Oryzias latipes: one gene and its partners. The protein of the gene in region 2 interacts with the protein of the main gene of each other region in a pairwise test. Links are inferred from orthologs where the notes say so. Each region holds a gene or a part of one and is shown on either strand. Other genes may lie near its edges. The genes, in order: ap1g1, ap1b1 and kif13a.

What was found.
Region 1: the proteins of ap1b1 (region 2) and ap1g1 interact in a two-hybrid assay, tested with the Homo sapiens proteins (2 studies listed by BioGRID, with this or other methods). The link is inferred for Oryzias latipes from reciprocal best matches to the Homo sapiens genes AP1B1 and AP1G1.
Region 3: the proteins of ap1b1 (region 2) and kif13a interact in binary tests that used the Homo sapiens proteins (3 or more experiments, as listed by UniProt). The link is inferred for Oryzias latipes from reciprocal best matches to the Homo sapiens genes AP1B1 and KIF13A.

What each region holds. Positions count from the first base shown.
Region 1 is NC_019861.2:21,119,684-21,123,858, forward strand, and holds the start of ap1g1 (AP-1 complex subunit gamma-1), read right to left. Parts: upstream 2,891-4,175; 5' UTR 2,789-2,890; intron 1-2,788. UniProt on the Homo sapiens protein: Subunit of clathrin-associated adaptor protein complex 1 that plays a role in protein sorting in the late-Golgi/trans-Golgi network (TGN) and/or endosomes.
Region 2 is NC_019867.2:12,650,012-12,653,661, forward strand, and holds part of ap1b1 (AP-1 complex subunit beta-1), read right to left. Parts: intron 2,149-3,650; coding exon 1,903-2,148; intron 1,724-1,902; coding exon 1,533-1,723; intron 1,431-1,532; coding exon 1,209-1,430; intron 1,098-1,208; coding exon 977-1,097; intron 880-976; coding exon 784-879; intron 375-783; coding exon 259-374; intron 1-258. UniProt on the Homo sapiens protein: Subunit of clathrin-associated adaptor protein complex 1 that plays a role in protein sorting in the late-Golgi/trans-Golgi network (TGN) and/or endosomes.
Region 3 is NC_019874.2:16,425,345-16,429,777, forward strand, and holds the start of kif13a (kinesin-like protein KIF13A), read right to left. Parts: upstream 2,893-4,433; 5' UTR 2,319-2,892; coding exon 2,264-2,318; intron 2,078-2,263; coding exon 1,984-2,077; intron 1-1,983. Other genes in the region: E3 ubiquitin-protein ligase NHLRC1, read right to left, coding at 4,402-4,433. UniProt on the Homo sapiens protein: Plus end-directed microtubule-dependent motor protein involved in intracellular transport and regulating various processes such as mannose-6-phosphate receptor (M6PR) transport to the plasma membrane, endosomal sorting during melanosome biogenesis and cytokinesis.

The DNA of each region.
Region 1 (4,175 bases), on a different chromosome or scaffold from region 2:
ATCTCTGAAGACTTTGCTCTCTTGTCAATTTCAGACTTCTGTTGAGGTCATACTTTTGTTTATGTGAATCTAAAACCTTTTTTTATTTGAAGGCCTCTCTTGCAGTTCTAATCACAGACTCAGCAGAAATGATCCTATCAGCCTGGCTGTCATGTTGCTGGAGCTAATAAATAATCATGACACTGCAGATTATTTTCACCTAAAAAAATTACTGACCCCATTCCTAAGAGAGCACACGACAGATTCTGCTGGGTGTTTTTATTTGTGTCCTGTCAAAAAGTGGCTCAACTTTTCATGAAACTGTGCTTTCAGATCTGTCCAAGAAGTGACTGATTTATTATTTTAAACTGCAGGATGAGCACTTCTAGAGATGAGAAATATGGTCAATCACATGACATGACATGTTTTAGGGACAGAATCAGGATGAAAAATATATTTTGGATTTTATTTTGTTTTCAATGAATTCGGGGAGATTGCAATCCAAGATAGACGCATGACCAACCCCCATGTCCCTGGGTGAAAAGAACAACCCTTTCAGATTGAATGCAAAACAGAGGAGTTGGCTAATGTGGGTGTGTCACAGGAGGGGACATTGGAGTTGTGTCCTAATGGCTAAAGTAACAAGATAATGTGGATTAATGGTGGCCATAATGCTTTGCAACTTTGTTAAGAGGAAATCTGCATTAAACAAAACTACATTTGGTCCCAGACATTTTATTTTGCTAGTCTTATATTAGCCAAGCAAATGCACAATATGTTCAGCAGATCTTTAGCCACTTCTTCCAGTCTACAAAATACTGCATTAGTGACAGGAGCAGTAAAACAATCGGGAAGCAGCCCCAAACAAAAGCTCAAATAAAACAGGACTTATCTGGGATCTTAATGATTCAATACTTGCCAAGTAGCATTTATTAAATTGGGATAACTTTGCATTTAAAAAGGTCAAATCCATTCATTTATATACAGATTTGATCCATCTAACAAAACAGTTCAGCATTAAAGGAGTTTCCCTTATTAACTCACTACTTAGTAATCTGTTGCTCATTAGAAAATTACCTCTGAGTTGTGGGTGGGACTATTGCCATGCTGTAATCTTTCCCTTACTTCCCATCATCTATTTACGTGCTCTCCCACTGGTTCCCTAGTACAGTACCTCACAGCACCAACGTAACATTAACGGTGAAACAAAAATGGCGAGCAATATCGGAGATATCCAGCTGTTTAGTTTTGCGCCAGATGCCAATCTATTTGGATCCATTAGTCTACAAGTAGATGCATCAGAATAAAGCTGAACAGGGGACTTATGTCACAGCTTCTTCCAAGTGCATTTTTTCTTCTGCTCTTGATTCACAACAATTTGAATAAAGAAATGCACAGAAATTCTATTTTTAGCTTAATTTTCTATGTATGCATATATGTACTCCATCATGAGAACAATGCCACGGGAACATGTTAAAAACACCAACAATTTTAACAGGAGAGGGCCTTTAACTCCATCTATTCAAAGCTGCTTAACATGCATAAACTTCCTTTGAACTTGAAAATACAAAATGGATTTTTTATACTTTGTGTTGGTGGTTACTAAGGCCTCAGACCTAAAGTAAAAAGGCAAGACACTCAATATTTTTCACTGACCATTTAATACGAAAGAGTTGAGAAAAACAAACCCCAAATGTTAATTAACAATTATTGTAAACCAATAATTAATTTATAGTATGATTGTAAGCCTATCCTCACCTACGCCAAGAGGCCCCTGAACTCCTGAAAGGTGTGTTGGTCCTGGTCAACAGAAACATTAACACTAAAGACAACCCAGCAGACACGTCGATACGCAGAACGTCACACTCGTAGCGCACTTCCTACTTATACCTCGACTTCCTTAACGTTAACCAGTCCTGAGCAACAAGTGCTATAATGGAAATTAATTAGATGTTTCATTACAGAAATCTACTAAGGAAGACGCTTCAATGACACCAACTGTTTTGTAAACATTATAAAAACAAATTCACGTCTTTAGTGAGCTATAGCTTCCTGGATGTCAAAAGCTAACTTGACTCGACATTTTAAAGTTTTTAAATATTTAAAAACCACATCTAAAGCTCCAGCAAACTGTCAAGTATCTTAACGACGAGGCACAACAACTGAGTAAAAAGTAGCTTTACAAAAAGTGCCCATTTTACTCGAAAGGGATCATGTTTGGACATCCTTAGCAACAACAGAGGCTTTACCGCTTACTCACGCTTTTTGATAAAATGCAAGAAGTTAATATTAACAACATGAACATACAAAATAATTAGAAAAGTGGTTTTGTTTAACCTCGAGCTACGACACCTGACTGAGTTCACCAAGTGAAGAGGACATGATGCGTTTAGGCCTTCGTGGAACATTTGGATTACAAACTAGCTAGCTAGCCCCCTGTACTACCGTCAGCTCGCTACCTGACAGTTCGCTGTTAACTAGTGTATAAGTTACAGGACAAGAGCTGTGGTCCAGTAGTGGAAATATTAACTACACAGTCATCGTTAGGTGCTGTCACAATAAATATTTCACAAAACACTTGGGAATTCTGCATAGCTAAGCCCGTAGATACCTAGCACTGCTCTACATGGTAGCTAACTTAGCTTACTGACAGGCACTGCCCCGGCGCACTGAGCGCTGCAACTTCCTATGCAGTGGCACTCTCTCTGAGATAACAACGCAGACACGAACACACGCGTAATGTTTTTTGTTTAAGAAAATTACATTTTATCACATTTCTGTCGATATGTTATTGTTTCAAAGTACTTACTAGCCGTAATGACGCCAGAAAAGGACTGGACTCGTCTCTATTAGCGATGGAGGGAGGAACACACTAGACATGCAAAATGGTGGCTACTCCAGCCTCAGTACATCTACCGCAGGCGGAGGGTTACACTCTCAGAGGATGGTAAAAGGCGTTCAGCTCAAGTTTGTCATCATCGCAGGAACGGCTGGAAGCAGAGAAGTCACCACTGTGACCGAGATTACACCTGATACAGCTCTGTTTACAGGACACCATGGGTAATAGTTCCGTTATGTCACTATTGGTCTTTTGTAATATTAAATCAATTATTCTATTTGATCAGTTTTCTACAATGCACGCTCGGTCTGTTCCCGTTATTATAAAGCGCTAGCAATAGAGCCTGTTGTTTTCTTTAACCATCTGGTTCTCGATTATCTTTTTGAAAAGGTTTCGAAACGTATTTATTTGAGATTGGATTCCTGGTTACACTGAGATGCGTTGTCTGACATTTTACATGAAACATGTGTTAAATGACAAGGCGAGGTTTCTTTTGTTGAGATAGAATATTATCCTTTAACCTTGCGGATGAGTACACTGTCCGTCTCGAAGGCGTGCTGCGGTCAGTTTACTCGTGGCATACAGTGATGACGACTGCATGCAATGTGAGAGTTCAGTGGTACCGTAAATTAAAGCGCCACCTAGCGGTGTCTCTTGTCCTCTTAAGAGGATCCTCTTGAGGTTTGATCTAAAACAATAATTTATTTTTTGATGAGATACCAATTTAGACTTGTTTTGTTTTTGTTCAATTGACCAAAACCATGCAAAGGTTTAATTATACTTAGTATATTTAGTTTATAAATAAAGATTAGGTTTGAAATTCAATGTAACAATTATTTAAAGAGAGAATTTGGATTAAATTGATATGCATTAAAATATCATTTAAAATGGAATTTGGCTCTCATAAATGCTTCATTTTATATTTTTGATGCTACATTTAAGTGTTGGTAAAAGTGATTTAAAGCAAAAACATTTTAATTACGGTATACATCTTTTTATTCAAGATGGTTGTACATGTATGCATGACTAACATGTCCTTGTTGTTAAGGTTATTTTTTGGGTCTCCCACAGGTGTCGGGAGTTGAACTTCAATAAGACGAATTACATATTTTGCAAAGCAACATATGAGGGATTAAAACTTAAACATCAATAAATAACACTTTGGACTAATTTGCCTTTATCCTGGATGGAAAAAATGATAGTATTTGTTTTATTAAAAGCAAATAACTAAACAAACAAAGTATGAGTTCAATAAATTTTCACGTTTTTTCTAACATACATATAGTACGCTAATTTAAAAAGAAATCAATAATTATTGAATTAAAAACTAGGGCTTTCTTTTTTGCCACACAAAATA
Region 2 (3,650 bases):
TCATTTGCAGTTCACAAATAAAAAGTGAATTAGTGTCTGCAAGACATAAACGGTGGTTGTCCTTAATGCCTAAAGCTTATCTTCTGACCATTTCCAAACCCTTAAAAGTGTCAAACACACATTTTTTCTTCTGGAGCAGAAATAACTGGTCAATTTACAAACATTAAAACAACATTTAGTATTTTTCAGATTTTAAACATGCAAATGAGGTAATGAAGATTTATTAGAATGTTTATATTTGTTGCAGAAAACTCTTACTTGTTGGGGTATTTGCGGAATATGTCTTTGATAACCACAATGGCCTCCTGTACCACGTAGTTGACCTTGGTCTGGATCAGGTCTAGCAGGGTGCTGACACAGCGCTCTGCTGATTGCTAGAGTACAATGGGGGAAAAAGTCTGAGCTTTATAGCTTGAGACAAAAATACAGACTAAGAGAAAATCTTTTGTGTAGAAAAATGCATAAACATTTAAAAATGTGTTAATATCATAGTTTAACAGATTAAAAACAAACATCTACTGCATAAATATTTACTTTAAGGTAGGAAAATGACAACAGAATTATTATTTTTTTTTGTTTTTAGCAGTTTACTGCAAACTTTGAACTACAGAAGATACATGACTTAAATGCTTAAACGTCTTTTAGAAACAGAGCCACCTGGTGTCTGAATCGGCACTTAACTTACTTTTACTTTACTTAAAAAGAACGTTAGTGTGTGTGCGTGTTGGAAAGGTAAATATATTTTTGACAAAGTAATGACTATCATGCATCATCTCCGCCCACCTCCACTTTGATGGCACAGCGGCCGATGGCCCTGACGGCTTTGCGAACAAAGTCCACATCCACCTCAGTGGCATACTCTTTTAACTCAGCCAGAACCTAAAGAGAGAAAAACACCTCTGTTACGTACCAGATCTAGATTCTCCAGAAGCACCGTCTGATTTTATTTTTTAACTATTGAAGCAAAGTGTGTTACTTGAGCTATGTTGGCTTGAGATGCAAGACGGATCATTATGTCCAGCTTCTCCAATTTGACATAAATGGGGTCGTTGTACTTTACGAAGAAAACTTTCATTTCGTGCTTCATTATCTCCGGCCTTAAAGACAAAAATGGTTAATTGGGTGTGTAGCCTAAATATGGCAGATTCCAAACAACATGTCTAAGCAGTTAAAGAAGTCTTGGATGCAAGAGCTTTTCTAAAACTTACCGCCTCTGGACAATGAGGTTGATATTTCGAAGTGCCACATACTGCAACTCAGGCTCAGCAGACAATAGTGTGACCAGAGGAGGGGCCAGCTTCTTCAGTAGAGTGCCATAATAGTCCAAGTCTTTTGGCAGCATTTCCATGAACTTCATTAAAACTTTCACTGCTGACAACACAACTGCTGAGTTGGCATGAGACAGCCTTGGGGTGACTCGCTCACAGATGCTGGCAGATTAGAATGGGAAATGAGAGGGACAGTGAGGAAATAACCTTTCAATGTAAGCAAACCGACATCCAGGATAAATACTGTCAAGATTATTCATGTACCTTTGGGACTCACGATCATCACGGGGTGTGTAATTGGCCAGGCAGTCTAAAATAAATATCTGTCCCCACTCTGTGCATTCGTTAAGAGCTGTAAGTAACTTGTTTATAGTCTGAGGGTTCAGATCCAGAAGATTACTGTTGGGATGAGACTCTGCGATCTCCGAAAGAGCTGCAACTGCATTTGCTACAACCTAAAGACAAACCAAACACAAGTAAATGTTATATAAACACTTTCTTTTTCCTAAGCAAGGAATTTACACAAAGACATGTTGAAAAATGATCAAGGAAATGGAGTTGAGGTTTCTCTAAAAAGAGAAGAGTAGGAAATCTGCCAAATGTAACTACAAGCAGGTACATACAGACAGCATACCATGGGATTGGAGTCAGAGATGAGATCTTTCAGGGTGTCCAGGAAACCTTGATCCTCCACCAGCTGGGCATTAATATCATGGAGCTTTGCTACACACACAGCAGCTGTCTTCCTCACATAAGGGTCTTCATCCTTCAGACATTTTCTCAGAGGTTCACACAGATACTCCGTGATCTTGTCCACGCGAATGCAACCCATCGTACGAACAGCAAGCGCTCGAATGAGAGGGTTAGGGTCTTCACAGTCCTAAACGGTGAAAGTAATCGCATATGAAAACATTCTTAAATGCAGTTCATTGAAGATACTTCCACGTAGCATTTTCCTGAATCATAAAACGCTGCATAAACACAAAAATCTCAAACTTGAAGGAATTTTCTCCAGACTGATGACAGAAATCAGGAAGGTTAACCAGTGACTGATAACGTTGCTCTTCATTTTAATGATTCAAAAAAGCTACATACTACAGGGCTCCAGACTGCGACCATTTGGTCGCATTTTGCGACCAAAATTTGAGAGTGTGCGACTGAATTTTACATCCAGTCGCACATGTGCGACCAGTAAATTTGCCTCCCCCACCCTCCATATTTTTTATACATTAAAAAATATCCGTGCTGAACTTTTCTCTGGGACCCGTAGGTTACGGGGGTTACGGTTAAGCGCGCGGCGTCGCATCCCCCCAACCAAACGGTTTATGCACGGCTGTTACGGCAGCACACCGCTCCAGCGGGAGTCGGGTCAGCTGAGGAGAATAAATGTCCCACACCTACATGCGTGACAGCTAACAGAGCTTGAACTTTAAACACGTGCGAGCAACAACACGGTTTAGTCCGAGACGCACTTAAAACACGCGGTGAAAATGCAAGGATAGACGTGTTTGAGATGAATGGCTGATGGCGAATCTGCAGCGAGACTGAAGGAGAACAGGAAGTTGAAGTTCAATTCAGTTCAATTTAGTTTTAATATTCCTCTCCCCTTTAGTATGATCTGTGTTATTATATATTTTATATTTATTTGAATGTTTTGTAATGGATGTAGCCTATTTTTAATCAATTGGTATTTTAAATTATTTCAATTTCTCATTTAACTACAAAAACCATCAGGACACATGTCCCTTAATGCATTGTTTTGTAGTTAAAGGGCAGCTTTCAGTCAGTTCAGTACTAAATTTCCAGCTGCGTTCGGTAGGTTGGGGCCTTGCTGCTCCCGCCCCTTTCTCCTGATATTTTTGTGATGATTGACATGTGATGTTGGAGCAAAAACAAAAATATATGTAACACACCAGGGGCCTCATTTATAAAACTTTGCGTAGGATTTGCGTCAGAAGTGGCGTACGGATGAAACATAGGACGTGCGTACGCACAGAAATATTCAGATTTATAAAACCGTGCGCACGCACATCCTACGCATCTTTCCCTTAATAAATCAGAACCAATTCTAAATGCAGCGCAGCTTTTGCGGCCTCATGACACGCCCATAGTTGCCCATAAATAGTCCGTGAAACGCCCACAAATGAATATTCATTGATTGCGAAACCATGGCACACACCGAGAGGTAATGAAAAAAACGTAACTTCACTCAATGTGAAGTAGAATTTATCGTTGGCGAGGTGGAAAAGAGGAGAAAAGTGATATATGATGGGCACAGTGTGGGCATTACTAATGCCGAAAAGCCACGTGAGTGGCAGACGCCGTTAATGCTGTAGCCTCACAACCTAGGACCGTGGTTAAATAAAAAAGAAATGGTCGGAC
Region 3 (4,433 bases), on a different chromosome or scaffold from region 2:
CTTAGATTGTCTGCGTGCCTGTGGATATCAGGTCAGGTGTGCAATCATGTGTAAAAATAACAAAAAGGGGGCTAAATTACATTGCAGCTTTTGGCGGCAAAAAAAACCCCATCTCTGACTGATGCTAACAGGCAGAACATTTACAAGCATTCAGTCGTCACTAAAATACATGCTGTGCAATCACCCCATTACAATAGGAAAGAATGTTTGCAGAAAAAGACGTCCAGTGAGCTCCAGTGTGGTATTTGTTTCAGTAAAGATTTTCCCATCACTGTCAGCAATGTCGGCTGTAAAGAAAACAAATTGATCGCTTGATGGTACATAGAATGTAACACTACTATAATATGATATAATATTGTAAACACAGGACATTTACACAATTACAGAAAGGATGGAGATGAAGCAGAAAGCAGAAAAGATGTCCACATTGGCAGTGACTGTCAATTATGTGTCGGGTTTAAGGACCCGTTTCTAATTTGATTCAAAAACAAAACATTGTATTTGTAATACAGTGGTCCATAGCTGTATCGTTGTTCACCCTATGCGGTCTTGCTGATTTATTTTCAATACAATTTTGCATGCTTTTATTTTTGAACAGCACACTTTGTTCTGCGTCCTGATTGGTTGTAGACCTTATCAACTAACCTCCTCCATGCCATGTGTCAAGACTATTAAGTTTATATATACAGTCAATGCCAAAGTTTAGTTTCCCAAATCTATAAATCTTCAATCGCGAGCAGATCTTTTTTTTCATTATATAACAGCATATTGGACTTATTTTTCTAAAAACGTTTAAATCTTCTATAAAATCTTCATGTCTGTCTGAGAAAAGAGAGTAGTTAACGTTTTTTACAGCAACAAAACATTTGCAATTCTATTTCATCCATTCACCTATCGCAGATTATTTTTAGAACATAAACGCTTCAATAAACGAGGGACCCCTGTATTGACTTAAAGTGCCTCCAGACTAAATCAGTATTAACCTACAACATTCATTAGGCATTTAAACACTGCCTATGAGGGCAAACCATCAAACAATGTTTAATTCAAACCTTGTACCAATCTACAGACTTCCTATTTGTATTAAATAGAGAACTTCCAATAAAAAAAGCTTTATTTCATAATAATGAGCTCTGTCATTCTGACTCCATTAACTTGGAAGGCTACGTTCAGCAGATGTGACAATGCAATCGCCATATCAGCAGTGATGGCACTGCTTTTGTCTAAAAAAAAAAAAAAAGCTTCTTCATCGATCTTCTTTGTTCTCTGTTCTTAAATTTCTTGTTTCCAACCATATCTACCGGAGAGAAAAGCTGCTTTCCCTTTTAAACTTCTGCTAAAAAGTTCATATCTGTTCATCTACACACCAACCCCTTCCAGTAGATCTATGGAAAGATCTCTCCACTTCATAGTTTGGATTTCACTCTGACATTTCGAGACCTTTGGCAGACAGGTATGTGCTTTTCCTATATAGGACAAAAGTCATGAGTGGGGTCAGTGGTGGGTTTGTGGAGACTCCTAAAAAAAATATTGATCTGAAAAGGAACCAGAGCCCTGCACAGACACACTCAAAGGTAGAGCACACATAGCAGAGAAGTTATGGCTCATTATCATTACAGCAATTGGTATTGGAAAATTTGTATAAATTATAGCTTGGTGCCATGTGCAAAATGCAGTGCAATAGAATATTCCTGCTGGACCATATTCTGTGACTGTCAAGAAGGAGACGTCCACCCTCCAGAGAAAACCACCTACAGACAATTGAGTTTGATTGGTGGTGATTTGCTCATCTGGAGTGCTACAGTTGCTGTACGACAGATTACCTTTCATTAGAGAACTAACCCTGTGTTTTTCCTGCCCTTCCACTGACATTTATACCCAAGTGTCAAGATGAACTCGCGCTGACTCAACATTTCTCGCCTCACGTGTGTGACTGTGAGCCTAACTGGATTTGACGAATACAGTGGAGTCGGCCTCGGTTACCTGCTGTTCTCTCCTTTCGCGTTGGAGGGTGGAGGGTGCAGGACGGTTTGGTTGTCCTCCATATCCACGACACATTTAGTGTTCAATTCAATCTCTGCAGAGATAAGATTATTATTATTATTATTATTATTTATTAAGGGGGGAGGGGTGTTTGAGGGATTATTTTGTGAAAACCGCGCACGAGCGACACTTCCATCGTTTCAAAACTCAAAGCAACAATGACGAAGAAAGGGGAAAAAAGTTGAAGTGTAAATGTGAGCGCGCGAGGAGATATACTTACCCCTGCGGTTCATGGGCCGAACTCTCACCGCAACTTTTACCTTTGTATCCGACATTTTCGTCCACTTTTTTTTTTTTTACTCCCACCCGTCTGTCTGAGAGCTCAGAGTGCAGTCTGTGAATCCCCGACAAGAAGAACAAGCCCGGGCTTCTGCCGGCGAAAGGGGCAGCAGACGCGAGTCAAAAATGTCCCGAAATGCTCCAGACTTCTTCGAGGCGAAGACATGGAAATAAGTTCCGTTCCCCGCTCTCCTCTAAATCCATCCGAGTTGGCCTCTTGTGCCTCTGAAGCCCTCCGCTCCAGCGCCAGACAGCATCTCCACCGCCATCTTCCGCTGGGAGCAACGACTGCTCTCCTCTGGCACACGGGGGAGGCTGCGGCTCTCAGGGGGGAGAGAGGGTGGACGGGCCGCGCCGCTCATCAGGAGGAAAACATCAACGAGCGTTAATGTTGGTCTGTGACAGACTGCTCCACATCCAGCAGCAATGAATGTGGCGGACGAATCCAATGCTGAGGCGAACTTCAGTGACTGAGTCAAGAAGCTTTCTGGTGCTAAAACTTTTTTAGGGTTTCATCACGAGATCCACAGTGGAGAGTGACTAAACTAAACACCCTCTGGAAATTTTTTGGACATGGCACCTTTAAGCCTGGAAACGTAAAAAAAAAAAGACTAAAATTTGAATTTAACTCTTTACTTTCTTATGGAAATCTGCATGATCCAGTCGTTTGTTCTCCAATAAGCAATCTCATAAATCCATATAAACACAGTATTTGTTTTTTTTAACTTAATATCAAAAATAATAAGACAAAATTTACAATACTACATTTTTTTCCAAGCTGCAAGTTTTCAACAATTATTATACTTTTTTTTTTTTTTTTTTAGAAATAAAGTTATTTAACCACTTTTTTCTACATTTTAAAGACCAACACCAATAACAATTATGTTTATGGTGTTTTTAACATGTTCTCTTGTGGCATTTTTTTCATGATGCCGGACATACATAGACATATTTAAAGAAAATTAGGCTTTTCTTAGTATTTCTTTAATCAAATCATTGAAGCTGGATGGTTCAGTTGTAGGACTGGTGCATGGGAAATCATTGTGTAGCCACAGGAGCAGTCCCCAACCCAGATGAAATACAGTCAGGAAGGGCTTCCGGCATTAAAAATCTCTGCCAAACCACTTGTGGGAATTAGTGAAAGCTGATTTACTGTGGCAACCTCTGAAAGGATTTGCCTAAGGGTGAACAACAACAACTTTATTCAAATTGTTGTGAATCAGAAGCAGACAAAAAAATGCAGTTGGAAAACGGCATGTTGTCATGATGTAGGTGCTACAAATGGTAGGTCACAAGCCCCATTCTCCGCACCATTGGGATGTATCCACTTGCAGACAAATAGATCTATGACTATCTTCCTTTTCCTTCATGGCATCTGGCTCAAAACGGTTTGGCTGGATAGCTGCAAAATTGCTCACCATTTTTGCAGCACCAGTAATGTTAGATTGGGGGATGTTGCTGGGATGTAAGCTAACATGAGAAAGTGTAAACAGAAGGATGTCTGTTTAATTAGAGGCAAATTCTAAGGATCTACCATCGCTCTATGTCCTAGAAAATGACCGTTTTTTTTTTTTCATTTTGCCTAAAAACTCAATAATTGTAAATAAAAGACTACTTGGAAAGCTTTTACAATAGATCTAAAGAGGATTGGAGTGGGAATAATTTTTATTTCTGCATACATTTTATAACGGTTTAGAATTCAAAAAACTGCATACATTCCTAGCTAACTACATCCACACACCCAACACTGTCATGTTTGGCATATAATACTGATGACTCCCTTTAATGCCTTACAAATATTACTTATTTCCCAGTGGTGGAGGTCTTTTTAAGCTTAAAGTTATAACAAATGCACGAACTACAAAGATACTGGACAAATCTCATCCGGGAAAAATCTATCCAAATTTTGACAAATCATCAATTTAACTAATAAGAACCAATGGCGACATGTGTAAGAGAAAGACATCAGAAATGTGTTCTGAGATCCACTTGGTCAGTGGTACAGTAGATCCCGCATAGTATTGCTCTAATGAAAAATGGGTCTGGGTTCAGATCTAACATGTTTTGTAAGCATATGCTTTATTCAGGTTTATTAGAGAAAATCTTGACTG